Linked DNA regions of Oreochromis niloticus. Each later gene encodes a partner of the first gene's protein in a complex. Links are inferred from orthologs where the notes say so. Each region holds a gene or a part of one and is shown in the gene's direction. Other genes may lie near its edges.

Region 1 (13,618 bases):
AACTTTACACTCGGCCCATTGCAGTGAGACAAAAAAAGTTCTTTTTGGCAACAGCCAAACCCAGACTTGTCCATTGAATTGCCAAACAGAGAGTTGTTATTCGTAACTGGAGAGAAGACGTCTCAACTGCTCTAACAAATGATCTGCTTCACATTGCGCTTGGTGGTGAAAGGGTTGGATGAGTTTTCATCCAGGGAAATGCGTTCCATGAAGCTCTTTGCACATTGTCCTTGAGCTAATTTCCACAGGAAGTTTGGAGGTGTTGACTCTGCAGAATGTTGCAAACTCTGCACCTCAGCATCCTCAGATTTTCACACGGCGTACCACTTGGTGGCTGTCATTCCTAATCACTTCCACTTTGTTATAATACCACTAAGGGCGTACTGTGGAATGTGAAAGAAATTGACAAATGGACTTGATTCCACTAGTGGCATCCTATCACACTACCACACTGGAATTCACTGAGCTCCTTAGAACGGCCCATCATTTCCCAAATGCATGTAGAAGCAGTCTGCATGCCTAGGTGCTTTATACACCTGTGTCTATGGAGGTGATTGGAACAGCTGAATTCAGTGATTTGGATGGGTGAGTGAGTACTTTTGGCAATATAGTTTACTTCTGAGCCAAAGTGATTGTCATCTCAGATTTACACTGGTCAGATGGTTCTTTTTCACAGTGTAAATGCAAACAAACAAGCAGTGGTCTGAAGGAACCATTTGGCTTCCTGAAAAGTGTTCCTGGGCACTTGGATGGATGACGGTTTATGTAAAACATAAATGTGGAGTTATCAGCATTCTCTCTGCATGTCTTGGTGTACCTAGACAAGATACTGAAGCCCTTTTGCCCATCTACGAAAGAATCCTCCTGCACATGCAGCATTGCTTCTCCCATATAATCAGAGTGATCTAACCTGTTAAAATTCAACATATGGGCAGTAATGAATTTTTTCATGATGTTGATTATGTTTTCTTCTTTCAGCACATCCCAAGTCCAGTAAAGAAGATGCCTCGTATGCCTGCAGCCACGGCTGGATCTGAAAGAGCCGTCAGCAACTGAAAGTACTCTGCACCTACTCGGAGAGTTATAAAGTTCCAGCAGTTTGGAAACTATGCGAGACAATAGAGATCAGATGAATAGCAACAGAAAGTGCTGTGTCGTGCAAAATTATGATTAAATCTCCATTAGTGGAGGACTACAAACAGTCCCCTTGTCTTCATGTGTTACTGCAGGACAGTAAACCTGAGCAGAGTCTGTTATCACAATATTTTATTTTAGTTATCCTTTATTTCAACTTTTATATTTCATGAACAGCTATATTTGGGAGAACCATAAACAGACATAGACATAGCATGATTGATTCTGACAGCTGCCAACCAGTGATGATGTGACTTCAGGTTTTTCTCTAATGAAAAAAACCCCCCGCAGAGTATGCTTCACCTGTTTTTATGATTTAAAATTGTACTGCTGTCACAGCATATGATGGAGGTGCTACCCGTATTCTGCTGGTTGTATTAATTACATCAGTTTTCTATTTATAAAGTCGTTGACTTTACAATGTCACTTGGTCATCATAAACCAGAACAGTTGAACACGAGGCAAAATGATGCTATATAAAGAGGAGCTTTTTCCAGTAGGCAAATGGTGTGTTGTCTTTAAACTTCTGATTCCGGGAGCCAAATATCTAAAACCCAATGTAAATCTGTAAAAAGAAAAAAAAAAAAGAGAGAAAAACGAAAATATGCACTGTAGCATACTGTATACTTTGTAACACATACCTGGTTTTATTTTGTTGAGACACCAATCAATTTATTGAGGGGTTATTGTAAGAAAATGTTTAATAGTGTTAAACATTTCACTGATAAATAAATCAAAAATATCAAACTGTCTCTGGCTTGTAATTTTCCATTTTTCAAAGAACTTTCTGTGAATTTGAGAAACTGGTCAGACAAGAAAAGGCATGTTCTTGGACAGAGGGAACTTTAGCTGAAACTTCATATTTGCAGTCTAATTCATTAAACTGGGTAATGTCATTGGTTGCATTCTCATTCATTGTCATTTTCTAAACCACTGTTCACTTACAGAATTAAATAGTTAGCAAGTCATTTATTGCCTCAACATGTACACAAACAGTTCAGTCTATTACAGAAACCAAAAAGGGGAAAGAAGATTATTTAAAAATGTTGTCATGGAAACATTATAGCCAGTACCTGCAAGGTTGTCTTCTTGTGATGTGGCCCTTTGTAAGAAATCTGAATTTTACATTCATCCAATCTAATCAGTGTTTCAAGGGAAAAAATATAGGTACCGTACAGACAGCTGCTAGAAATCCTTTGTAAACCCTCTGGAATTTGAGTAATTTGTCCTATGATTCTTGAAAGCCCAGTCTGATCTTGTAATTAAATTCAGTAGTTAAATTTACACAAATTTACACATGTACTTTTAGGTCTCTGTTGCAAACAGTGCAAGCAGAAAGCAGCCAAACAATTTCATTTCAGTAACTTGTAGTTTGACAACCTCTTAGAAGCAGGAACCTCCATCAGAAATTTCCTGTAGCTGCTTGTCATGGAAGAATCCTTTATTATTCCTGTAGAATGAGGGTGACTACATACATACATTAGATTGGCATAATTTGAATAAATTGAGTGAATGTGTGTGTGAATGGGTGGATGACTGGTTGTGTAAAGCGCTTTGGGGTCCTTAGGGACTAGTAAAAGCGCTATACAAATACAGGCCATTTGCCATAAATTTACCATCCTCATATTTGTCATCATTTGACTATTTATATAGCAAAGTGATTGAGAAATTGAACATAAAGTGGTGTAACAAAAAAGGGTTTACCTTCCTGATTTCCTCTTTTTTTATGTTTGTTACACTGAAATATTTCAGATCAAACACATTTAAATATTAGACAAAGATAACACAAGGAAACAGAAAATGCAGTTTCTATATGAAGGTGTTTATTATTAAGGGGAAAATAAATCCAAAGCTAAATGACCCAATGTGAAAAAACTATTGCCCCCTTGATCTAATAACTGGTCGGGCAACCTTTAGCACCAACAACTGGAATCAAGCGCTTGTGATTCTTTCCCAGCACTGTGAGGGAATTTTGCCCCACTCATCTTTGCAGAATTGTTGTAATTCAGCCACATTGGAGAGCTTTTCAGCATGAACTGCCTTTTAAAGGTCATGCCACAGCATCTCAATATGATTTAGGTAGTGACTTTGACTGGGCCACTCCAGTCTTCATTTTGGTTTTTTTTAAGTCATTCAGTAGTGGACTTGCTGATGCATTTTAGATCTTTGTCCTGCTTCAGATCCCAAGTGCGCTTCAGTTTGAGGTCATGAACAGATGGATGGACATTCTTCTTCAGGATGTTTTGGTAGACAGCAGAATTCATGGTTTCATTTACCACAGCAGGTCTTCCAGGTCCTGAGGCAGCAAAATGGCACCATCACACTACCCCCACCATATTTTACTGTTGGTATGATTTTTCCTTTTTGAAGTGTTACTTGTGTTACTTTTATGCCAAATGTAATGGACACATACCTTCCAAAAGGTTCAACTTTTGTCTTGTCAGTCCATGAAATTTCTCATAATTAGGTTAGTTATCAGAATTGGATTGTTGTGGGCAGCACAGTGGTGCTGTGGTTAGCACTGTTGCGGGCAGCATGGTGGTGCTGTGGTTAGCGCTGTTGCCTCACAGCAGGAAGGTCCTGAGTTTAATTCCACCATCAGGCCAGGGTCTTTCTGTGTGGAGTTTGCATCCCTGTGTTTGTGTCAGTTCTCTCCGGGTGCTCCAGCTTCCTCCCACAGTCCAAAGGCTTGTAGTGATGGGTGTGAATGGTTCTCAGTCTCTGTTAGCCCTGTGACATACAGGCGACCTGTCCAGGGTATACCCCGCATTTTGCCCTAGGACAGGCTCGAGCTGAGATAGACTGATTAACTAAAAGACTAAAATCATCTTAAGTTAAGTTCAGATTAAAATGCAAACACACTGTTATCCTGTTCTAATAAGTGGAAACACCTAATGTTTTCCTGACTCATATATACTTCACACTACAGAAAACAATGTGTCTTCCTCTTTAATGCTCTTTAATAGATTAAAGAATTCGTGATTATGATTTTGCAAGGATCACAAATAAACGGAAAGTGGGATTTATTGCGCATCATTTCTGTGGCATTAAATTTAGAATAGATTCAACAATGCTGTTGGCTATTAGAGGCTTTCAGTAATCTAGTTTTTGATTAGATTCTAAATTGCCAATATTTCCTGGATTTTTTTCAAATAATAAGGAGAATTATTATATTTTAAATCCTCTAACTACTAACTGCAACACTGTAGTTGAATTGTCAGCTAATTATTAAGCTGTTAAACTAACTCTACTCACTCGTGATGTTGAGTGTGCATGGTAACAATGCTAATGTAATTGTTTTTACATGTGTAAATAGCTTTTAATTAACATAAAACATATGCAGAAATATACAAGATCTTAGGTTACTTAAAGCAGTAAAACTGCAATAAAATGATGGAAAATGTCTATGTTTTTACACAACGGTAATTTTCTGTTATTTCTGTACATCTATCCAAAGTAATATACCATAAAAGAACACAAAATATTTGTTTCAGTGGCAAAATAGATGACTAATTTGTTTTAGTAAGTTGCTTATTTGACAGAAGAAATAGCCATCTATCCATTTTCCTTCACTGATTTTAAATAACATTTCACTAAACTTAATTCGCAAAAAGGCTATGCCACTACTACTTGCTTTGCAGAGTTGCATACTGAAGCATTTAATATGTATTCAGAATCTGTTTTTACAGTTCCCATCTTTTTAATTAATATTAATTTGCAGAACATTTGTATTAAAAATAGCTTGAACATTAGAGATGTCTTGCAATAATCACAGAAAATATACCTTTCCCTAAAAACAGCAAATTAATATTGAGTGACCATTGACACTGACTGAATAATATAACATAATATAATATTATAATACTATAATAACATAATAATAATAAAGAGACAAAAGAAATGTGTTTAATATGTGATTAAGATTTATTTAAAGAAAAATAATCTTACTTTTATTATTGTAAAACTACAGGGACAAAACTAAAGTTTTTATTTGAAATCTTATTTTTTAACTGAAAATTTATATATCCTTGCAGATGGTGAGAAAGTAATCCCGGTAAGTCACAGGTTCAAGAGCTTTGTAAGACAGGGAATGACAAGTAAGAAAGCCACCTTAGACTTCAATGTTATTTTGTTATTATTGTTTGTATTGCAGATAGTAGCTTTTTAAAAACTTTAAAAAAAATTAATCAAAGAGAACATTAAAAAGAGGGCTACAGAAGAGAAACACTGGATTTCGGTTCCGTCACTGTCAGTGATGACAGCCGGATGCGAGCAGTGTTCAGACCAAAGAAAAAGTAAGATAAGTTGAAGTTTCATGGAGCTGCCACTTTTACCGTTATGTGGCCCCAGCGTTTCGTGCACAAACCAGCTTTATAATACGACGATGTTGACACTTCTGACACACCCACCGAACCAGCCTGGGCAACTTCAAATGCAGCTGGCCAACGTTTGAAGGAAACATGTCTGTCTACCCGGAAACCCTAGCAAAGCAGATCTGAACGTCCCCGCGGTCTCCTCCAGCACAGTCCGTGGCATTAAGAGTCAAATTAAGTTGATTTAGTATTGAAAACAAGACAGACAGAGTTCGGAAACAAAATAGAAGAGTATGAAAACACGCTCAGTGTTATTCGTCTGCTGCAGAACAGTACCCGAACTCTACACCGCCCCTCTGTGCGTCGACGCGCTGAGCCAGGGTGGAGTTTTTCGCAAGCCGCTGCCGAGGGATAGGGAGAGGAACTGAGAAAAAGTCGTCTTCTGGCCTTTCCCCTGGTGGAAAACTTTATTTGTTGTCGGGAGTTAATTTAAGGATCGTTAAATCAGCTCTGTTTTTCCGTGTTTGAGTGGCCGTCGACGAGAGTGGATTAACGCGCCCAGGTCAGACTGAATGTTTCTAACTTTGAAAAGTTTCTAGCTTTTTTCTTCGTTTTTTTTTAAAAACGCGAAGTCCCTGACGTCACCACAGACTCGACATGGAAGCGAGACAGATTAGTAAACGTATGCAGACTTGGGCCTTCTAATGTAGAGAGCGGATAAACGGTAGTGTATATGATAACCCAGAAGTTAAATCACACAAATGGGAGACGAATCGAAAGTATCAAGCGCCAAAAGACAGACCACCTCTCTCTCTCTCACACACACGCACACACATCTGAATTTTCTGTGTGCCATGTCGCTGTCCTCTCATGCTTCCCTACAATACGCGCATTTTGATGAGATGTGTATAAGTTACCTTTGTACTATGAAACTGTTTTAGTGTCAAAGTTAAAAGGAGTTAGCAGCTGTATTGTTCCCCTTTTGACCTACAGCATGCAAGTTCAGTTCATCACAGTCATTTTGTAGGCCGCTCATAAGTGTCCTGGGCGTGTTATGCAGCTGTTAGAACAAGAAAAAATATCGCCTCTGGGTGTAAATTCTTACACCGCTGTGATGTGTTGTGCAACACAATGAAGGCATTTGGATGCAGATATGTCTACTAACCATCGAGCAATAAAGGAAAAAACAAAGGGTACTTTCTACAGGCTGAAGGACGGCCTGTTGAAACTAGCCTGGAAGAATTAAGAGCTGTACATTTTTAGACAGGCTCACCTAAAATGAGTAAATAAATAAACTAAAAACCGAACAAAAGCATTTTTGTCTCTGTTAAATTGCTTATTACATTAATTGATTAAAAGAATGTTATAAAAATTAATAACTGCTTGATTTTGTATTTAAACTTGTATCTCATTAGATTTTTACATCTTTACATTTTGATATTCTATTATTCTATGTTTTTATATCATGCTGCTGTGACACAGTAATTTCCCAAATTTTGGGATAAATAAACACTTATCATTCACTGAAAATTAATGTCTTCAGTAAATGTTTCACCTTCTTTTTGAACTTGTAAAGATCAGCCTGTGTTCATTAAATAAGGAGTTTTGTTACATGTTAGGTAACTATCTGACACTAGAACACATATAAGGGAACAGTTAATATATGCACAAGATGGCATGCTCTCAGTGGACTGCACATTTTCAACCACAACCACAGCTAAAATAAATAAGTAAAAATCTAACTATTTTAAGGGGAGGCGGGGGAGCAAGAGATAAAGATAGAGAATCATGAGGTCTTACAAAAGTAAGAACAAAACGTAAACTGGAACTAAAAAGAAATCCAATAATCCAGTTTATTGTGATGTGCTGTCTTTGCCTTCCTGAGTGTTGTGTTTCTTTTTAGCTGAACAGATTCTTTGTTAGTTGATGTAGTCTTATATGTCTTGTGTGTGTGTGGATTTTTTTCATTAACCAGCTTCACATGTGTAGCTGAAGCTAACTTTTAACTGCCAAGCCACTATGCATGTAATACACTGGTGAAGCACTGTGATCTGGGCTGTAGAGAAATGAAGAAAGGCCTCCAGTATTCAAGGTTCAGGCCATGCTGTGTAGTAATCTGAGCTAATCTACCAGCCATACAAAATTCAGGTAACAGAGTAAAATCCCATTTTGGTAGTTGTATCATGGACTATTCTCACACCAGTTAAGGAAACCTGCTTCCATTCCAATGTGTTGCCGTGGTTGGAGTGTAGTGTTTTAACTCAGCCATATTTGGTCAAGACAACATGTGCAGCCACTAGTCCACAAGAAATCATTTGTTTTAGACATGAGCCAATTCCCATGGCTGTGTGAGATGCCTGGGGAGTTCAGTCACACCAATGAGGAGACTGGAAGAAAATACAGCTCTTACTTAATTTCAAAATCATACAAAACCCTAATGTTGTTGGGTGGTTTATGATTAAATGAAATGCGTATAAAGAATAGAAAGAAACAGATCTTATCTTGTGATAGCATCACACTAACTGTAATACTGGCTGGTATTATGCCAAATTTTCAAAAATTTGATACATCAGAAACATTAATCCATGTATGGAGAATGGGCTCCAGGTGAATTCTAAGTTTTACATATGAGAACATAATAAAACAATTATTAGGTCCTTACCAGGTGCTGAAATTATGTAAATAAAACTTGATGAACACATGACATACAATGTCATTATTTATTTTGGAAAAAAAACTAAGCAAAAATAGGTGTGTAACGCAATGCTAAAACATCATCAGTGATCTTAGAGAAACTACCACCACTCGGGGAATGGTTTTAAAGCCATTTTTAGAAAGACTATTCCCATGTGGAAAACATTCAAGACAGCTCCCAATCTTCCTAAGAGTCAATGTCCTAGTAAATTCAACTCATGGGTAGAGTCTGCACTGTTTAGAGAAAATGCAAAAAACACAAGAGCTACATCTCAGTCTTTACAGGCCTCAGTATGTTAAAATAAGGAAGAAATTGAACATGTATGGCTTGTTTGGAAGGGCTGCCAAGACCCTTTTCTCTCTAAAAGGAATGACAGCATGGCTTAGGTTTGCATCTCATCCAGCCACAAGACTTATGGAACAATGTCATTCCGACAGACAAAACCAAAATTGAGATGTGTGTCCACAATGAACAGCACCACGTTTGGAGAAAACCAAATACATGGTATCAGGATCTCACCAACTGTTAAGCGTGGTAGAAGGGGGTGATGGTTTGAGCTTGTTTTCCAGCCACAACACCTGGCCACTTCACATTCATATTCAAAAAAGAAAAAACACATGTGTTTTAAAATTAACTACTCATTGGTTTCCCTTTTAGAAATTACGTTTTAATGTCAGCCCTGCATCAGACTGGTGACTGGTTTCTTAAACATTAAGAGGAGTGTGTTCATGTGTAAGGACCTGGTCTACGTAGGCCGGGTCCTTCGAAGGATGCGGCCCCTGAATTTGGACACAGCCTGTGTGTTTAAATGTGCAATGAGTGAGTATGTTGTTGCTGCAATTAAGAAAAGTGAGCATATCCTCATTCACAGAATTAGGGATATTCCTGCTGATTAATTTCTTGGTCAACAAATAAATAAATAATTAATTTTTTATTTATTTATATAGCACCTTTCAAGACAGAATCACAAAGTGCTGCACATAAGATTACAAGTCATAAAAAGATTTAAAAGAGAAAATAAAACGGGCAAAAAATTAACCAAAAGCAGTTTTAAAAAGGTAAGTTTTGAGTTGTTTTTTAAAAACAGCTACTGAGTCCGCAGTTCTTAATGCTTGGGGGAGAGAGTTCCACAGTGTAGGGGCCACAGTGGCAAAAAAAAAAAAATTGTCTAACCTGCAAGTGTGATCTACCCACATGTGTCTACATGTCTTCAGGATAGCTGCAGTGGCATACACACTCTGAATAGTTTATGTGATGCCTTTAGTCGAGCTGTGTTAACTTCTGCAAACATCTGTTCTGGTGGGACTTTGACAGTAAGTTGGAGAGTTGCCTCCTTGATTGTATGGTTGTGTTGAGTCTGCTCAGCTCAGTGAAAGCATCTGTCATTACTAGTGTTGGATATTTGTTTCAAAATAGCATCATCCTGATAGAAGTAGATTGGGGTGATGCCCTTTTGTCTACACTGCTCAGTGCACTTCCCATAGAACTGGACTGTCCAAGTCCAGGGCTCAAGGGCCAGTGTCCTGCAGGTTTAGATGTGTCCTTTATCCAGCACAGCTGATTTAAATTGCCTTCTCAACATGTGTTGAAGTTCTCCAGAGGCCTGTTAATGAACTAATCATTTGATGTTTTTTGACCCAGGGTGATATCTAAAACCTGCAGGACACCGCCCCTTTTCAATTCAGTTTAATTCAATTTTAGTTTTATAGCGCCAAATCACAACAACAGTCGCCTAAAGGCACTTTATATTGTAAGGTAGACCCTACAATAATACATACAGAGAAAAACCCAACAATCAAATGACTCCCTATGAGCAAGCACTTTGGCGACAGTGGGAAGGAAAAACTCCCTTTTAACAGGAAGAAACCTCCGGCAGAACCGCAGCTCAGGGAGGGGCGGCCATCAGTTAGGGTGAGAGAAGGAAGACAGGATAGAAGACATGCTGTGGAAGAGACGGAGATTAATAACAAGTCCGATTTAATGTAGAGAGGTCTATTAACACATAGTGAGTGAAAAAGCTGACTGAAAAGGAAAAACTCAATGCATCATGGGAGTCCCCCAGCAGCCTATGTCTATTGCAGCATAACTAAGGGAGGATTCAGGCTCACCTGATCCAGCCCTAACTATATGCTTTAGCAAAAAGGAATGTTTTAAGCCTAATCTTAAAAGTAGAGATAGTGTCTGTCTCCCGAATCCAAACTGGAAGCTGGTTCCATAGAAGAGGGGCCTGAAAACTGAAGGTTCTGCCTCCTACTTTTAAATACTCTAGGATCAACAAGTAAGCCTGCAGTGCGAGAGCGAAGTGCTTTAATGGGGTCGTATGGTACTACAAGGTCACTAAGATAAGATGGGGCCGGATTATTTAAGACCTTGTATGTGAGGAGTAGGATTTTGAATTCAATTCTGGATTTAACAGGGCGCCAATGAAGGGAACCCAATACAGGAGAAATATGCTCTCTCTTTCTAGTCCCTATCAGTACTCTTGTTGCAGCATTTTGAGGCCTCCTTGAGGGCTTGAGTTGGACACCCCTGACATAGAAGCTTATTTCTATGGATGTTAGTATGTCTTGGTCAGTGTGGATGCTGGGCATTTTGTACTATCAGGGTAACCTAAAACTAAGTTTCAGGTGGGAGTTTCTAAAGTGCTTTTGGCATATTATTAGGAAGGGATCACTATTCATCGCAGTGGTAGGGTTCTTGATTGATACAGAACAGACAAGATGCTGTCCAAAACCACATTTTTGAAAATCCTTTCAGAGGGGTTAGTTTGTTTTTAACTTTCTAGAACAAATCCCAATTTTGATGCCGAAGGAAAAAAGGAAACTTTACCCTAGATCAGATCAGATCAGATCATGAATAGGTGAGTTCAAATGAGCTGCCTAAATACAGGAAAGCTAGTTGGGACACCTCACTTACTCAAGAATGAGTAGCTGCCTATGACACAAGAGCATGGGAACCATTGATTGCCTTTCGAACGACCTTCCAGTGATAGATGTGGAAACAGGAGAGGTACAAGTCGAGTCAGTCTGTCCACTTGCAGTGCTGGGCAGCTGAGTTTCCATGGGGCTTTGGAGCAGGGAAGCTTCAGTCATTTCAGCCACCCAGCTATTTAACAGAACTTCTTCATCTGTATAATCCTATAATCCTTAATGCAACCTAAGTCTAGGTTGAAAACCAGAGGCGACCGTGCCTTTGCTATTGTAGCTCCTAGACTGTGGAACAACCTCCCTATTGCCATTCGCTCTTCTGAGACTGTTCAGTCTTTTAAATCTCGTTTAAAGACCCATCTTTTTACTCTGGCTTTGATGTAAGATAGTTTGATTATCATTTGGTTGGTTTCTATGTTTGTCTCGTCTTGCGTTGTATTTGTCTTATTTTATTTATTTATTTTCATAATTTGTGAAGCACTTTGATCAAAACTGTTGTTTTTAAATGTGCTATATAAATAAATTTTGATTGATTGATTGATTGACCCAGTGTTGTACCTTATCATCTTGGAAAGGCTAGAGCATTGAATGGCTAGGAGCATAAGACCACATAACCAGTCTAAAAAGGCACTACTTTCAGTATAGTCTTTTTAAGATACCAACTAAGAGCTCTCTTCGATTCACCATGAAGACAGATTAGAGTAAATGATAAAATCATAAAATTCCCCAGCAAACAAAGTAGCATCTGGGTTCATACTGGCCAGATCTTACTGTAAAAATCAGGAAGAGAACCCAATGCAGGATACACATAGGCAGAGTAAAAACCACTCTGGGAGGGTGTAGGCAAAAGGCAAAGTCCATAGAGCTGTCCAAAAGGAAATGAGACGTTCACAAGGGAAAATAACAAAATCATGAGGAATGCTGGGAAGCTTGACTAAGCAAGTTTACCAGATGACAAGTGGTTAGTGCAAAGCTGGAGCTGTATATACTAAGACCAGTGGCTAACTGGAAACAGGTGTGGTAGTGCAACAAAGCAAAGGCCGGAAGTATAACTAAGTTAAGTGTAAGACATACAGAAATTTCAAAATAAAACAGGAAGTAACCAGATATACAGTTGGTGAGATTAATCAGCATGAGGTATACAATCAAGGATGGAAAACTAATGCAGGAAGTAAAATTGACAACGATTTATGATTTACACAGGAAAATAACAAACACATGCGGTTTACAAGTAAGGCACAGGTGGTATTCACAAGTGGACAGATATTAGTTGAACTTGCGAATTGTTATTAACTTATAATATTTCTCCTATTCTTTATTTCATTTTTAAAGTTCTCTGTACTTTTTTATATGTTTAAAATTGCTAACAGGCATAAGGCATAATTCTTACACCTGGCATTGTTCAGCTTGGGCCATGAAGTGCATCTTTAATCCGTTTGATCACAAACATTATCCCACACCGTCTAATCTGGAAGTTTTCACATTAAACTGTGCCAGTGTCATCAACATTGCTGCTGTTGTGTTATCAGTGTTTCTGTTTAGAACTGGGGGCTGTGGGCTAATGTTGTCACACTTTTTATTTACACTTTTTATTCACTGCTCCTAAAAACGTTTGTATTTTTTGGTCAGTTTTTAGAAATTTAACAAATGCGGGTGAAAAACTCAGGTATATATTGTTTAACACATCTGCACGCTACAGAGCCGTGGATTAAATGAAGCATCGAAGCAAAGAATTTGTGTCGAGAATTTTTTGTAATTGACTTATTCGAATTACTTGATTAATCGTTGCAGCTGTAATATAAACTTTAGGTAAATTCTTTGGGCAAAACTAAAGAACTGCAGCAAATTTATAAAACTTGTGCATAAAGTGGGTTTTATTGTCATTCTTCTATATAACAACTGTACATTTGAACAAAATGTTGTTTCTCCAAGACTTTTATGCAACTCAAAATGATATATGTGATTTTAAAATTCAAGTTCAATTCAATCTTATTTATATAGCGCCAAATCACAACAACAGTCGCCTCAAGGCCCTTTATATTGTAAAGTAGACCCTACAATAATACATACAGAGAAAAACCCAACAATCAAATGACCCCCTATGAGCAAGCACTTTGGTGACAGTGGGAAGGAAAAACTCCCTTTTAACAGGAAGAAACGTCCGGCAGAACCGCAGCTCAGGGAGGGGCGGCCATTGGTTGGGGTGAGAGAAGGAAGACAGGATAGAAGACATGCTGTGGAAGAGACGGAGATTAATAACAAGTCCGATTTAATGTAGAGAGGTCTATTAACACATAGTGAGTGAAAAAGCTGACTGAAAAGGAAAAACTCAATGCATCATGGGAGTCCCCCAGCAGCCTATGTCTATTGCAGCATAACTAAGGGAGGATTCAGGCTCACCTGATCCAGCCTTAACTTGCTTTAGCAAAAAGGAAAGTTTAAAGCCTAATCTTAAAAGTAGAGATAGTGTCTGTCTCCCTAATCCAAACTGGAAGCTGGTTCCATAGAAGAGGGGCCTGAAAACTGAAGGCTCTGCCTCCCATTCTACT
Region 2 (16,728 bases), on another chromosome or scaffold:
GCGCTTGAAATAAAGGTAACATGACTTCTTTCTGATGAAAGAAGACATGTTACCTTTCATCCAAGTGGCTTAGTCGGTTCTAAAAACTGATGGAGAGTCACAGATATTTAACTGCTGCAGTTGTGGTCCTACGGGCTGCTGAACCCCCCATCACTAACTTGTTACAGATAGAGATAATGGATGACAGGTAAAACCTCATTCATGAGCTAGTTCACTTCAAGCACTTAAGACTACCATGACCTCGACGACTGAGAACCTACACAGACATATTGTGTATGAATTCTATAAATTTTGTTATTAGACACTGAATGCAAGGTTCTGTGTGGATCTGCTTTTCGGCTAGTCCACAGAGACATTACACTACAAGAGATAAACTACAAATGCAACTACACGTGCTTCAGCTGGACTTCAAAGAACTACACTAACTGGAATCACTACTGAATATAATAAGGTTATGCCTTGTAGACACAGATGGATGAAGCAGGGAATGTTCCTTGGGTTAAATGCTGATTTGTATTAGAGATGCTAATAAATTTCCATACTATTGGCTAAAACCAGGTCACCTGTTTCCCCTGTTTGCAGTTTTTGTGCTAACTAATCACTAGGTTTGCACTGGTCCACTCATGAAACTGTCCTCCAGAAAATGGTTCACTGCATTTCCCAAAATGTTAAAATACTGCTTTAACAACCTCATAATTCAATACAAAAAGGTTTAATACAATATGGATGTTAAGTATTAATATATACATATTAAATGATTCATATGCAAAAGTAGACATGCCAATGTGTGTGTACATACGCACAGACATACATAAGCACCATTTCCAAGTATGCACACCATTTACACATACAGACACACACACACACACTCACACATTCAGACATTTGATGTAGAATTGGTCACTGCTCAACCAGCCGAAGTACTTCAAGCAAAAAGCAGTACTTTTAGCATCTAAGTGTTACACCCTACAAAAAAAGTAATCATAAACGTCTATACAGGTGCAGAAATATACATTAAAGATAATGTGACAGGATATGTGGAAAAGAAGACTACATTTTATCAGCCCGTATTCGTCCTTTGGTGAATTTTGAAACTGCTCTGCAATTCAACATGTGCAAAACTGTCTTTTTCCACAAAATGTACTGATGAGAAAAGCTCAGCCCCTTCTTGGATCACACTGCCACCCAGAGAATTGAAATGTTAGTGCCGCCCTCGTGTGCTATCTGGTTAATTCGTCCACGGATGCAGTCCAGCGTGACGTACAGAGCCGTGCCATTCTGGACCTGAAATGAGGCTCTCAGCCCTACACTGGCCCACTCGCTTCCTTCAGGCATAGATCCTGACACCTGCTGAGCCACAGGACCAGCCTGCTTGCCCTGACCCCCTACCCGCTGCAGAGTGAGTTTAACTATATTACAAGAGTGGATCAGCTTGAGGTTGAGAGCTATGTTCACTGTTCCTTTCTCGCGGAATATAAAGTTCTTCCGGCTGTTTGGCTCCCCAGAGCGGGCCAAGTGGACCTGCGGTGTATCTGGGCTGATCTGCTGGAACAATAGAGGTTTATTCCTCACCGCTCCAAAGGGAAGACCGGTCCTGGACACAGTCGCTGTAAAGGCTGACGACACTGCTGAAGGAATCCAGATGAGACTCAAAATACTGATTCCAGTGCTGTCCCCAAAATAGCGGACGTTGCACTGAGACGGGGATGTGATCTCGAAGTTGAGCATGTCTCCACTGTCCACGCTCACAGCACCAGAGAGTGTAATGGAAGTGTCCCTGTAATTAACACCAGTCTTAAAATTCTGCATCACCTCTTGGCCGGTTCCGTTGCGGTTAATATAGGCAATCAAGGAGAAACCCTCTCGAATGCAGGTGTGCCCCATGGAGTAAAACGCTTGCTGAAGGACAAACTTGACCACTCCGCGCTCGGTGAAGCGCACCCCACGGTTGTCATGAGTCAGGCTGATCATGTAGGGGTCTGAAACTGAGGTTATGCGGAAAGTTGGGCGGTAGCTGGTCTGGTAGTGCATCAGCAGGGACATCTGAGCTGTCATAGCTACAGCACCAGTATCATGAGACAACCAGAGCAGACTCAAAGAGGGCCCTGCGGCATCGTACACGTGAAGATCTTTGCTCTGATTGCAGTGTTGATTTGGACTCCTCAACAGCAGTGTGAAGGTGTGGTTAGGCTCCACCTCCACCCCGGTACTGACGCTGACCCCCTGGAAATACTTCCCATCCGGTTGTTCGATGCGAACACCGCTGAGGTCCTTACCCTCCTCTTCCTGGCTCCCATTTAGCCTCATCCCCAACTGGAGGAAGTTCCTGCAACTGTGCTTAATTGCAAAGTTATGATCCAACCACACCAGCCCGTGCTGCTGGAAGGTCAACTGGCCCAACTGGTTGGACAGCAAATCGCTTTTTTCTTTGCTTCGTATGTTTAGCTGAAGCCCAGGAAAGATGTGGGTGCCAGATGACCTGGCGGGGGGAACTGCCACATTCGCCATCCAAGACTCAGAGAGCCGGGTCTCCGAAAGCTGGCCACAGATGGCGTCACTGACTGCTGTACAGGGAACGGTGACAGGCTCTCCATCACAGTCAGAGCAGGCTTGGCACTCCTGCAGCTCCTGGTTGTAGAAATATTCATGACCGCACAAGCCCATTATTGCGTCTCTCTCAGAAATGCCCAGACACCTGAATCCCCCTGCAAAATAAAAAGGCCCAAACAGGCTCTGACAGCTGCATAGACACATAGCTCAGTAAAGTGTGGCTGTTTTCTCAGTGCAAATAAAGTTTTAGATAAAGTGGTGGAAAAAGTTTTTATAACAGAGAAAAAATAAGGAATAAAGACTCATTAATTATCAGCAAAATAAGCATTGCAAACTCACCTGGAGTATTAAGGCACTTCACTCGCTCTCCACAAATATTTGGTAATTCAAGGCATTCGTCTCTGTCCTGCAAGTCATGAAAATTAAAAGCATCACCATGAGTGTATCCTGTACAACAATAACTGGGTTTAACTGATGCATTCTGTGAAGCATTTAAACTTGATCAGGAAATAAATGAGATGAGCGATCTAGGCTCAAAAGTATAAACATTCTCACCTCCACATCAGCTATGTTTGGATTTTGGCGTATGCTGGCATACGCTTGGAAACCACTAACTGGAAACCACCACGTGAAACCTCAACTAGCTAAAACCGCTTCACACTTTTTTTTTGTTTGTTTCCATTTTTTTCCTGTTTTGCTCTCGGTTTGTTTCAACACATCGGATGACGGCATACCTGGCACATTCTGTCCGCAGTTGGAGAGCACTGCGAGACGAGGAAGAAACCTGGTGGACACATGGTGCACTTTTCACACCGAGGTGGGTCCTTTTGAAAGTCACAGTACTCCTCTGATCCACAGGGTGAAGGGCATCCCAGGAGAGGCTGAGGAAAGTGAGCCTCCCCGACCACATCCATCACCTTAGAGTTGATGTCCACTTTGTGGACGGCGTAGGATTTCTGCAGGTGGCTGCGGGCTTGGCTTTGCAGTCCAGCCAGCTGGCTCTCGAAGTAGCTCTGCAGCTCGCCCTTCAGGCCCTGGAAGGAAACCTGTTTGAAGGTGTCTGAGAGAAGACCGTACTGGGCCTTCACCACATCCATTTGCTCATACATTCGCTGCTGCTGCTGCAGGATCTCACGCTGCTGCGACAGCAGGGCCTCCTGTTGGTCAGCGAGCTTCTGCTGCAGATCGCGGATGATAATCTGCTGGGCTCTCAGGGCCTCCACAAGCTTCTCCTGCCCCTTGGACAGCTGGAGGTGCAAGATGAGGGCATCTTCTGAAGGAACTTCATTCTCTCCTGTCATGAAATAAATGCACAGTGAAGGGAAAGAAAAACAGGGAGAAGAAATCGATTAGATGTTGTTAAGCCTTGTACTGAGGTGTGACTTCTCCAAACAGTGCTGACAGTAAGTGTGAACAGCCTGTGACTCCAGCTGCATAGCCAGCCACAGGCAAGTGTAGCCTACTAAAAGCTTCCTGTATGGAGCCACATCAAAGCATTCAAAATTTTCTGGGCAATTGACTCTGAGACATTTTTCCAGTCCAGCTACTCTTTGCCCTGCAGGTATCTTTTCTTTTCTTTCTTTCCTTTTTGTGGGGGGAGGCTGAAGGTCAACAAAGTTGTCCTTTGTCTCCAGAACACTCTTGTGTTGATTATTGGTGAGAGATTGTAAGTCAGTAAAGAGTAGCATGCATTTGTGTTATTTATAGACGCACAGCTTTTAGTAATGACATGTCACTTTTAAGGAAATTGTCAAGAGTCACAATGTGCACAGTCTGGATATTTTTTTTTGTTCCTGGCATGCAGGAGCTTATAATATAATGTAAAATAAATAAAAACGTTCTTGATTTGAATGCTGGATGAGAATTTTGATGAACATAGCAGACCTGGCTTGATATCACATGTGAGCTGGACACCTAAAGGCGCTGCGCCAAGTTCCGACGATGGATATTCAAACTCCGGAAAATCCCCCAGAAACTGCGAGGCTCTGTCCGACAGATGTACAGGAGGCACGCTCTCCTCTGAACCGGCCAGACATCCTTCTCCCACACAAGCCACTGCTCGAGCTTTTGGCCGTATCCTCAGTGGCAGTCTGCACTCGATCCCTTTACAGTCTCGGGTGTCATTGCTGGGTTGAAATTGTTTCACATGAACAGCGCACTCCGCATCGGTGCATCCTGCAGGTAAAACTTCAGGCGCACTCCTCCGAGTGCTGCCGTCGCTGTGCCGCCCGCGCAGTAGCAGCTGGGCGCCTGGAAAAGTCTCCGATGCCGCTCTTGGAGAGCTCGGGTACACGCGGTGTTGGCTGGCGGCTACATGAGCCGTTTTCCCCTGCGTTGACGGGTTAAACTGCCGCGGGGGTCTGGAAGATCGGCTCCCCGGACAGTGCGCCCCGGTGCACGGTCTTGGATCACCGGTGTCTCCGCCATAGCAGTGCGTCCCCCGGCAAATCTCCGCTACAGCTTGCGCGGCGTTGTGCAGCGATACCCAGGAGAGTTGCAGCAACAGCAGAGATGTCAGTAAAAGCATTTTCGCATCTAATATGTGGGCTTACTCTGCCTGCAAAAGAAGGAAACGCGAGGTAAGAGTCCCAAATGGAAAACCTGGAGGAAAAGATCTCAAAGGTGATAACTCAAGCCATCACTGATCTCCTTCTTGATTAAAGCCACCTCTCACACAACTGAAACAAACTTTACAGACTTGGCAGCTCATCTGTGCACATTACCTTCAGCTCCGGGGTTTGGTGAGGCTGGCTTTTCCCGACCGTCACAAAGGAGTAAAAACACTGGACTCACGCATTACTGCCGTCTCTCTCCATGCCTGACCCACTCTGAGGGCTTCGGCACTACAATGTCAGTGTATGTGGCATTCCTGAGACTTAATTAGCATCAGGTTTCCCCAGCTACAAATTAACCCTTCACCCTCTCCTCTCCCTTGAGTTCCCCTCTGAAGTAAAAGGTTTTGAAAGAACAAGAATAAAATAACATTTTTGATGCCTGAAACTGAAACATCCCTAATTTCAACCTGAAACAAATAAACAAAAGGGAAAAAAAATGACATGCATTTTAATTGTAACTCATCTTTTCACTTTGCTCACTGTTGACTTTTCTTTGACCCTGTGGCCCTCTGAGTTGCAAAAACATACAGTACTTTTTGTTTAGCACACCCTGAATGTTGAGACAGCTGCTGGTCCTCGACCCAGCGTCCTCCGTGCTTCAGCACTGGCCTTGTCAACCCTTTTTATAGACAAAGCGAGCAGAGGTCAAACTTTTGTTGAAGAGACCTATGGCAGAAGTCAGGAATGTGAAAAACACATCTGGGTTTTGGACTCGCTCCCAATTCCTCTCCTTTTTTTGTTTTTAGTGCTTCTGCACAAGCACATAAGGTTATCTGAGGATGATGTTTGCATGGATGTGATTAGTTAAGCAGTTCTGATATTACTGTCTTATTCAAAGGTTCAGGAGCCAAATGAATAGATTCAAAAGTTGTATGATCATATTTAACTGAATAACTCAAGATTTAGCCAAATTTCGGAATATTTAAAGCAGAATGCTGGATATTTTACAGCATCATGGGTACAGACTCGTAGAAATGTCCATGTTTTAGTTTACATCACTCATTTATACATTTTGCGATTATTGTTTCAGGGTTTCTGAGGTGTTATTTTGGGTTAAGACTTTGATTGTTGTGGACATGTTTGTGTGGATGTGGTTTCCAGTGTTTGTGTGACTGACAGCAGAGTTAGGGTTTAGCAAAGGAAAGGGGCCACCATGAATGAGGCTCCTGTAGCGATTAATCACATCCAGCCACCGTTTCTATTCAGGGTGGCTGTTAAAAATGTTGAATCCAAAAGATTTCCTGTACCCATCTGGTGCAAAGAGGTGAGGAGCTGAGGCGAGGCAGAACTCAAGAAAGACAAGTAGCTGCGTCCAGAGTGCAACTTTTCATCTTCAAAGTAAAGACGAAAGGTTACTAACTTACTCACTAATGACGGCCAATCAAATGGCAGTAATTTACTGTAAAGCTTGTATTCTATAACACACAGCAGTGTAAATTTGATTAAAGACATCACACTGTACAATTAAACAGTTTAATGCTGGTAAAAATGTATCTTATGATTTTATTATAACATAATCAAGGCTTTTTCTCTTTTAATTTTGTCTTTCCATGTCACATATTGGGCGTTTTTGCTCACATTTTCGACTCAGCCAGTCACAGCAGTCATCCTAGCCCATGTTAACAATAGCAAACCTCATTGTACTCATTTATTGGCCTCAGATGGCAAATAAATTCAGCCAAGCAGAACAAGGAGGGCTGTATCAGGAATCCATTTGTATGTTCTTGCATATACATTCAAAAACATCCAGCTAGCAGTTGCTTGTTATCCCGGTGCAAACTTGCGGTGTTGATTATTGCACCACAAAGAGGGAGTGGGGAAAATAACTGCAGGTTGGCAGGTTTACACCTCCCACTGATTTCAGTCATGTTTGGCATGTACAGTACAGCAAAGAACAAACAGAGGGCACTAAAAGACTCCTGTACGCATCACTTTTCACATCATCTCAGTGACGGTTTCTCCTCTGCAGCACTACATATCGTTTTGCAAGGTGCCCACTGGTTTTGTCATTATCACCCCATTTCCTTTTAGTGCCCAGGCACAAGAAATGTATCTCGAGGTGTGTTGGAGCGCTCAGAATGCAAACTAATGGCTAAAAAGAATGCTCCACACCTCACACCTTACCATATGCAGTTCTGCAACTTTCAAGCCAACAGACTTTTCTTTGTGCAGTAGAACTCAAGGCTCGACACTGCAGATCCCCCCTTTAAGCGCACAGTTTGATTAAATAACTAAAAAATAACAATCTCGTTCAGCTTCTTGGCTCGGTGCTGTGATGTATGAGCTGCAACATATGCTGGCAAAAACCATTATCAGAATCAGCTCTCCTGGACCACCCTCAGTCTCCGAGGAGAGAGCGCAAACGCACGGCGGAGCAGACAAAAAAATCACCTCGCTCTCTGCTGCCGAGCTCCACAACCGTTAATCAGTGTATTTATTTGAGAAATCTTCTCCGAGGCACCGGCGTGCTTGTGTTTGGGAGATGTTTAGAGCTAATGGGAGGCTGCCTTTGGTGTCCATCTGTTTGTCAAACCCTGAGAGAATGAGGAAATGAGGGTGGTTGGGACACATGCTTGTACCCAGGGTGTTTGTTTAATACATCACGAGTCATGAAAGACTCTTGGAAGCATTCAAGGTTATTTGATTTCTCCCTGTGGTGCTCAGCTTTACCATATGATGACGGGATTTTGCCACAGTGGTGGTCTGTCTTTGCTGTCGTGGCTCAGGCTGGTCTTGAGGGGAAATGGGACCTAGAAGTGTCAATATTAGTAAAAATGAAGATAATTTGTTCTGTTAGGCATAATTTTGTATTCATTTTTTTATATTGTATGTGAATTCCCTTTAAGGTGGAAAGAGGATAAAAAAAGAGATCAGAAATCTTGTTTTTGGCCTCCCAAGATGACTCAAGGAGAAATGCAAATAAATACAGCTATCTGTGTCTGCACGGTCAGATAACAGAGCCAGAGGCTATTCATAGTTTGACAGTTTAACTCTCTTTGGTTCCTCCTAAAGATAACTGAATTTGTTGCACCACACCATTACCCTAAGACAATTCTTCCTGATTTTAACTGTAGAAGCTAAGATTTCATGTAAATTAATGTATTCTAGTGTACTCTGCTTACATTTATGAGGTGTGTTAGAGGTTGTACAGCAAATAATGCGCTTCATTTAGGCGAGTGTATTTTCTCACAAGAATTTAGACAAGTAAAGCCCAGCTGAAGTGTCTTTCACCACTACAGCATGCCACTCCTGTCTACAGACTTGCTGTAAATCAGTTTCAGCGAGGTGAATTATTAACCAAGACCCGTCACATTCCTCCCGCTGATTCAGCCTTTCTCTCGATCCAACTGAAGCATTTCTTTTTTCTTTCAATAAAAAAAAACTTCCCAATCTGCTCGAGTGGCTGTCAGTCACCCTCGAAGTCTTGGTGAGAAGCCACAACACATTTATGATTTCTCCCTCTCTGCCCCCGTTGGCACAGTTACAGTACAGTGCAGATAAGGAGCACTGTTAAGGAGGGGATGGATCAACGCTGCCCAGACAAGAGTGTTGTGAAAGTGCTGAACTCTGTAGTAGGAATGCAATGACAGGTCTAGACCTGAACTTCCGCATTAAGCAGGAAGAAGCCAACAGTCAGACAAATGCAATCTTCAATCCACTCGCACGCCCAAAATCTGCCTGCATGTGATATTAATTTTTGGTGTCAAGCTTAATTAGAGACTAGTTTTTCGAAGTGGAACTGATGTCCATGAAGCTGTTATCTTGAAACTTAGTGGCGAAACAAAGGATTAACACATTTTAAAAAGGTGAGTTTCATCTCTGTTAACTTGGATGTTGTGTCTTTGGATATAACGGTAACAACCGAAGCTGCTTTCCTCTGAACGCAGAGCAAGAACATTGTTCATTGATGTTTGAGCACATTACAAGTGAGGATTGTGGTCGCTGTTGTGCTGAAAAACAAACAAAAAATAAATGAGAGATTTGTTTGTAATATATGTATATTCAGCTACAGCAGAATAATTTAGCTTGAGAACGCTATGTAGAGATATGTTGCAGATGATAATCTTAGACATCCTGTCAAAGTTTGTGAGTTACAGCGCGCTCTGATAAAAACTCTCAAAAGGTTTTAAATTTAATAGTACGAGAAATTAAAGAAAACTGTTATTAGAAGATTTTTTTTCCCCATGAAATAAATAAATAAATGTTTTAATTTGGTGAAAAGAATGTAAGTTCATATCTTTCCAACTGGGTGGACCCCGCTATCGTCTCATAGTGCTGTATGACTCAATAACCACATGAAACTAATAGGGCTGGCCTCTTATATTAAAGTTAATAGTGCTGTCAGTTTGTTGTTGATGACGGGAACATTTTGTATATTTGGCTTTTGGCATTTTTGACGTTAAATCATGTCACAAAAATATGAAGTGAATTTGTTATGAGTATAACTGAACGCGTTGCTTTCAGAGCGACGGATTAAAAGGCTTTTAGTCGAGGGGGTGTTTGCTGTTTCTTAGAGATGTTAAGCAAGACATTTTGTTAAGGGTACTGATTGTAGCAGGTTTGAGTCTGATTTGAAACCTGCTTCGGCAAACATTAGGGTTCTGATTATTCATTTTCATACTCTTCAGTGGTTTGTGCCTGCTACTCAACCTCTAATTTGCCTACTTTGCAAAAAGTCAAGTCAAGTCCTGTAAACACATCTGCTTAAGAGCCAAGCACGGAAATATGATCTGATCATAAGAGGGAGAGTTTCTGTATGTTATGGTAAACACTGGAGTTGATGTCTGCTTTTGATTTTCTACCCTGGAGCTACATATGTGTGGCATGTAAAAGGCTGAGACATATATTTGAGATTATTGGGGGAGGGAAGGGGGGAGGGGGGTGTTCTAGAGGAATGCAGAAGCTATAAGCTATAAGGTGCTTTTAGATTTGCTGTTTTTTATTATAAAAAGTACAACAGTACAGTTGCCACTTTTCACAATGCGCTCATTTGATGCCCAACAATAACATTTAAGGACGCCGATTGGTCACAAATGCCCCTTGTCTGACAATAGAATAGTGAAAAGTGTGAAGAGACAGTGACACAGTTTTGTGAATCGAAAGTGTGAAAATGTGACTAGAAGTTCACAAACATGAACTCTGTTGCGGTAAATTGATATATTGAAAGGCACATAAAGCTACAGAGCTTGCAGAGGAAAAATTCCTGGTGTTATTAGTTTGGTTTCTTTGTAGAGCTATTACTCATTCATGAACAGGACACTGGGGTGACTTTGAATAGTTTAGTTGTTCTGGTCTTCAGCTGTCGAGTTTCCAGTTTTTTCCGGTTACTGATGATAAAATCTTTGGCCAGATTTCTTTAAAAATCCTTTAAAAGTCTGATTTTAAACGGTGCTTTAATCATGGCCGTTTCCTTGTGAGGTATTATTGAGTATTTGGTCAAATGTAGGATTTTTTGTGTTTTCTGAGAATAGTCGATTGATACTCCACAGACTGTACAAATAATCAGATCTAAAACGTATTTGTTCTCGTAGCCACCAGGGGGCGACTCCTCTGGTTGCAAAATGTTACGCTTTAAAGCCTCATTTAATATAATACAACACTGACTTTATTCATTATGTTTCCATTTATAGTAAAGTAGATGCTAAAGTTGGGTATATTTCACAACGTGTCAACATTGTGTTTGACAAATTGCTTGTTTTACAATTCACAAACAGCTACTGTAGCTAGGTAAGCTCTGCCAAAGTACACCAAACTCATCCCCTAAAGCTTGAAAATATAAAGTCATGAGTACATTATATTCATTAGTTTCTCTTAAAAAAAAGTTAAATTTCAAAGGTGGATTTGGTCACCTTTGAACAAAGCTAGGAAACCTTCAAGCTTCAGAATCCCCCGTCCTTAAGGTCACATTTGAGTAAACCTAATTAGTCCACCCATAATCATACTAGTGGCGTTGCAATGACTCTGAGGTTAACACCTTTATCTGTATATCAGGTGCAGGATCACACCTACAAATAGCACAGAAGAAGTCCATTTCTCACGTTGTGTCTGAGATATCACTCCACTAATGCACATGTCTAAGGCACTGAGGGAGTGTCTTAAAATTGGGTCAATTTGTTTTCACCAGCGGAAGCCGTCTTGTTTTCACGGTCTGTTCCTGCCGCTTCTCACTTCTCCTTGCTAATCTGGGAGCGGTTCATTTCATGCATTTGGTGTCAAAACACAGCCTCCCAGCAAAATCTGATCGACTGACTAAACTTCTCTTTCAGTGACTTTAAAACTACTGACAAAAGGTAGCACCAGACGTTCAGAGATGGTGCGTTCTTTTACTCGAAACGTCTTATGCCGACCACGTATAGGTGAAAAAAAGTGACATAATGAGAACTGAGGAAACAGTACCATGAAATTTGCAGGCAGCTGCTTGTGTCACCATTTCCGATACCATTTCAACATTGCAAGTTCCAGGAAGTTTACCAGTTACCACTTCCTCCTGGGGGTAAACCGTTTGTGTAAAAGGTGGAGGATTGCGCTCACGTGCTATAGCAGTGAGCCCCACATATGTACGTCACGTGGAAATTATGGTGCGCAAACAAATTCTATCAGTGCGCAGAGGCGTTTCAGTTTATGAGCCGTGCGATTTGATATATGACACCAGAAGATTAACAGTTTCTCGTGAGCTTCCAACACGCAGCATCTGTTAGATGTTTGAAACAGTATTGATCCTGTATAAACTCTTTCCTGGAACACAATCAGTCACTCTTGTCTCCTACACAGTGTCAATGAGAGATGTACTCCTGTGTCTTTTAATTAAATTCCAGCAATTTATTTTTTTCGTGTTGGATCTAAATGTCATTAAACACATTCCAGACACTGTGACGAGTGAAAGCAGGGAGTTAAACTCTGCAGAATCGCCCAATATTTTCCTCTCTAATGGACGCTACCACAGCAGCAGAGAAAACATAAAGACTAGAGGATGGCAATGCAAACATCTGTGCAGAGAATCTCATTGCATGAGTTAAACAAATTAGATCAGGGGTGGTTTAACAAAAGAGATTGCAGCCACCCCCAGCCTTCCTCTTGCATGCCCCGTGAAACGCTTTTAATTAGTGCTTAATTTACAAAACCAGTCAGAAATAAGAAGAAAATGCATTACATAACAGACTCATACACGTTGTCATGCTTAGTCACCCTCTAAAGACTCATACAGAGGCTGAAAAAACACCATAATAGGGTAGTGTGATGCTAAGCATTCTTGCAATATGAGATCTGGCTGAGACACAAAACAAGTACAGCTCATCGGTTTCTTAATCAGTTTAACCACACCAAACTTGAGACTAACCCCAGCAATTTATAACTGACCTGAGGTGAACCGAAGCTTATATTTATGCAGGTTAATCACAGTCTGTCAGAATAAGTAAAACCAGCAACACCTGGGTTAGCTGGTAAGATGTCTTGATTAAAAAGCGTTTAAAGAAAAAAAGCTCACACTTGTTTTATTGCTTTGACCATGAACATATTAAGAGTGAATCAGGTGTTAGTCAGTAACTGCGCTGCACCATGCTGACATCGTTGTGACGTCAGATTACAATATTGAGTAACCTTTATAAAACATTATGCAAAGTGGTGCTGTTTTTTTCACATTGACTCACATTGAGATGTTTAGATGAGCTGGGTGTGTTTGTTATCATCACTCTATCTCAGAATGTTAGAAGGATAAGATCTGTCTGAAAGCATTAATTGAACATATTCTTCTTTTATATTGTTTCACAAATGTACAAGTTCTGACCAGTGAGATCTTTTGACCTGATGATGGTGCTAAATGTACTAAAGATTCAGACTCATTCTAATTAATTAATAACTGCATAGTCTGCATGTCAAACAAGAATAGTTATATCTTTCCCTTCAATCTCTTCAGTAGATACTTAATAGATAAGTAGTAAAAGTCATGGAAATCTGTGATTAATCCTCTGGGGATCATGACTAATATATATTTTATTGCAATCTTTCTGGTAATACAATCAGGCACAAGCAAATGTTTTCTTGTTATTTTGTAGCATTCAGGTCAGTAGAACGTGAGAAGGTGGAACCAGTGAGTCCGGATGGTTTACTGGTCACGAAACTCCTCTAATCAATTAATTTAGTAGTGACAGCTTCAGCAGTTACCCAGTCATACCTTATGTTAACAAGCCTTGAGTAAAAATATATTTGCAGTCATGTGAAAAGTAGGCCACTGCCGCTATCTTAATAAGTAGCAGCCAGGTGCTGCTAACCAAATGCATTTGATTAACTGATCATGAGCAAGTGTGAGCACGTCTATAAAAGCAGATCTGGACTATTCAGGTTTGTGTTAATGCAATGCCAATGGAAAAAAGACATCAACGGTCATCTTAAAGAAGCAGTTGTTTAATTGTCCTGTGAAAGGTTACAAGACCATATCCACACACTCTGAAGTCCAGCAATCTACAGTGAGAAAGATTATTCACAAGGGGATCTTTTAAATAATCTTCCCAGCAAACCATCACCCTGATGTCAGATCATGCAATACTCAGACAAACTCCAAAAATAGCTACACCTCAGACTCTACCACAGTTAGCATGTCAGTTAGCATAAGTTAGCAAAAGACTTGTTTGCAGGGGTTTCCAGGAGAAAGCCTGTTCTATCTAAAAACAGCATGGCAGCACTGTTTAGTTTAGAAAATTTGCATCTGAACAAACCACTCTGTATACAGAAGTATGATCGAGTGTGTGAGGCCATCTGTCCGACACATGACGCTTGGCTCGAATCCGGTCATGAAATAGGACAAAGATCCAGAGCACAGCATCAAATCTACAACAGAATGGCTGAAAAAGAAAAGAATCAAGGTGTTGCAAAGGCCCAGTCAAAGTCCAGACCTCAACCCGATGGAAATGCTGCGGTGAGACGAGCTGTGCATAAATGAGTGTCCTCAGACTCAAAGAACTGAAGCAATGATGTAAAGAAGAGTGGGCCAAAGTTGCATCTTTATCAATGAGAGACTGATAAAGTCATGCAGAAAATAATGTTATATTATTGCTGCTAATAACGTAAAGTTATTAGATTATAGAAAAGGTGGTTCTATAATTCACTGACTTATGGGGTGCACTTAATTTGTGGTACAGCTGTTGTTATCAGAAACATGCTATACTGGGAGCAGAAGAGTTAGGAGAGTCCACATGTAACCAGTATAAAGTAAGCTACCATTAGCACCACTTTAACTGGATGAACTCCCATTGACACCTTCAGTGTTTCTGTGGTACCACTCATGTACCAGCATAAGAAAACAGGGACTGTTTTGACTGCACATTCCAGACCATCATAACATTTGCTTTGAGAAAAGAGGCTTCAAATAATACGTGCAGGGGAGACGGCCTACTGTGCATAATTACGAATGTAAATCTCAAGCGAGGCCTTCGGAGTAGTTTTCAAAAAGGCACAGTGACCACGGTGGCTCCTCGGGCTATTACTCTGCTTAAAATGAAAAACATAACCTTCATTATGCTGACAATTCGCTTCATGCATCCACATCGGGGATGTATATAAATCTGTACCAGCCTGATGTATGAGTCCATTTTGAAACTTGATCAGCAGTTTAGAGCAATTTCGAGCTAAGCACATTATGGAAGCTTGCATACTTTATGCTCTTCCACTTTCCTTAGGCATCGGTATGTTGCAGGCAGTTTTTCTTCTTCTTCGTATAACGATTCAAACAAACACTCATCATACAACACGAAGCATGATTTCAGTACACGAGACCGACTGCTTCCCTTAAAAAAAGCTGGGACTGGTTTAATTTGGCATCTGTGTAGCAATCTAAAGCAAAACAGCTGGAAGATGGCATTTAAAAGAAGTTAAAATCATCATATTGGTGGTTTTAAAATCCAGATTACTAAAGAACACAGCTGACAGCTTAAAAAAGTCAACTCTGAATATGACAGAAAAGGCAACATAATATTTACTCACTGCTTCACTGACTTGCTCCAACAAGAGACAACAAGTTCTGGCAAATAATGACTGCCTGCAGTTATGCATACACACTTTGTTCCTTCAAGTCTGGGTTGGACATGTTTCGCAATATATCATAACCTGGGGAAACATATTACATCTGCAAATACTTCACAGTAAAGTAGTAGCACTGTATCAGCACTCACTGCCTGCACTTGCTTTTACCCATGCAAATGGACATACCGTCTCTTTCATCTTCATTAATCAGTGCAGCCCATTAATACATATTATAAAGATTATATTTTGTCACATTGGAAATAATGATAATTTCTATATCTGATTCTACTGTTGATTCTTTCACCAGATGGACGACATTGACGCCATGTTCAGCGCCATGCTGGGGGAGATGGACCTCCTCACCCAGGTGACTTACCAGCCATTGTTTGCTTATATATTTTTATATATACTTATTCTATTCTTGTTGCTTTATAGCACAAAATACCCTTAGAGCCATCTTTTCAAAAAACAAACACTGAATATGTAGTTAATTTTCGGTTGGGTGAATAATGTGATTGCTCCTGTCTGTTCTGGTGTGTACAGCACTTTACAAAATCGACACGTTGTAGCTGTGACAACAAAATAAAACAAAGACAAAACCAAGAACTGAAAGAGGAAAGAAGGAGTGGATGACGCGTATCCAGGCACACCCTGAAGATACATTTTTCTGCTTCTTTTATCCTCCAGTTTCCAATATCTGAAATAAGCGGGTGTCATTTTTTCATCTCTTTTTCTCTATTTAAATTTAAATATATTTAAATTATATTGTATAGAATGTATTAAACATGACAGGATTTAATATAATACCAATATAAAGTAGCAGAGGAGCTTGTGCCACTACCGCATTTTCTGTTAATGAAAGGCATAAATCTCAATGTTCATGCAGCAAATAGACAAAAATACATTTTTTTGTTCAAGCTGCCCGTGATCAATTATCTCGCCTAAGACTTAGAGATACTTTTCTTTTTCAGAGAAGATGACAAAGTAACAAAAACCCACCATCCTTAACTGAGACGCTCATGACTGGGACGAAACACACTTTGTGGTCATCTAAGAACCATAAATACCACCCTTTTCTGGAAGGGTGGGTTAAATGGCAAAACCCAACCGAGTAAAGATTACGCCTTTTTTTTCCCTCTTAGTAAAAAACCCCGCCGATCACTTTAATGTTTTCCATCTCAGTTCTTCCAAGATGGGGTGTCATATTGTTCATACAGTGGGTACACTCTCACTTTTAGCCCCCAAAAGAAAAAAAATACAACTCTGTCCTCTGTCATAATGTTGGTATCAGAGCGCTCAAACACAAAAGTGTGCTCCTCTGTGGTGGGGGGTGGGGAAGTATTTTGGCTGTGCAGAAATTGTGTTTGCGTTCTTACAACCACACTGCTTTCTTCATTCTTTGTCTCAGAGTCTTGGAGAGGAAACGGTGCCCCCTGAAGCTCTATCCAGCACAAAGAAGGAAGTCAACTACTCCATCGGCTTCACTGACCTGAATGGTGACTTCACATTTTGACATTATGTGTGGAAACACTACAAAGAGCTGGGCGTT

What was found.
Region 2: the proteins of tln1 (region 1) and apbb1ip are in contact, whole or in part, in a crystal structure (PDB 4W8P), measured with the Mus musculus proteins. The link is inferred for Oreochromis niloticus from reciprocal best matches to the Homo sapiens genes TLN1 and APBB1IP. Residues at the interface, in NP_035732.2 of Mus musculus: Leu1492, Ala1495, Thr1496, Val1498, Ala1499, Thr1502, Ser1503, Cys1506, Asn1507, Arg1510, Val1526, Ala1529, Lys1530, Ala1533, Asn1534, Thr1536, Ala1537, Val1540, Ile1543, Lys1544, Asp1547; in NP_062329.2 of Mus musculus: Asn5, Ile8, Asp9, Met11, Phe12, Thr14, Leu15, Glu18, Met19, Leu21, Leu22, Ser25.

The regions. Positions count from the first base shown.
Region 1 is NC_031972.2:10,399,462-10,413,079, reverse strand, and holds the start of tln1 (talin-1), read left to right. Parts: upstream 1-5,191; 5' UTR 5,192-6,009; intron 6,010-13,618. UniProt on the Homo sapiens protein: High molecular weight cytoskeletal protein concentrated at regions of cell-matrix and cell-cell contacts. Involved in connections of major cytoskeletal structures to the plasma membrane.
Region 2 is NC_031974.2:12,461,723-12,478,450, forward strand, and holds the start of apbb1ip (amyloid beta A4 precursor protein-binding family B member 1-interacting protein), read left to right. Parts: upstream 1-8,774; 5' UTR 8,775-8,971; intron 8,972-15,486; coding exon 15,487-15,546; intron 15,547-16,587; coding exon 16,588-16,675; intron 16,676-16,728. Other genes in the region: uncharacterized protein nell3, read right to left, coding at 1,174-2,705, 2,890-2,956, 3,285-3,844, 4,435-5,077. UniProt on the Homo sapiens protein: Appears to function in the signal transduction from Ras activation to actin cytoskeletal remodeling. Suppresses insulin-induced promoter activities through AP1 and SRE. Mediates Rap1-induced adhesion.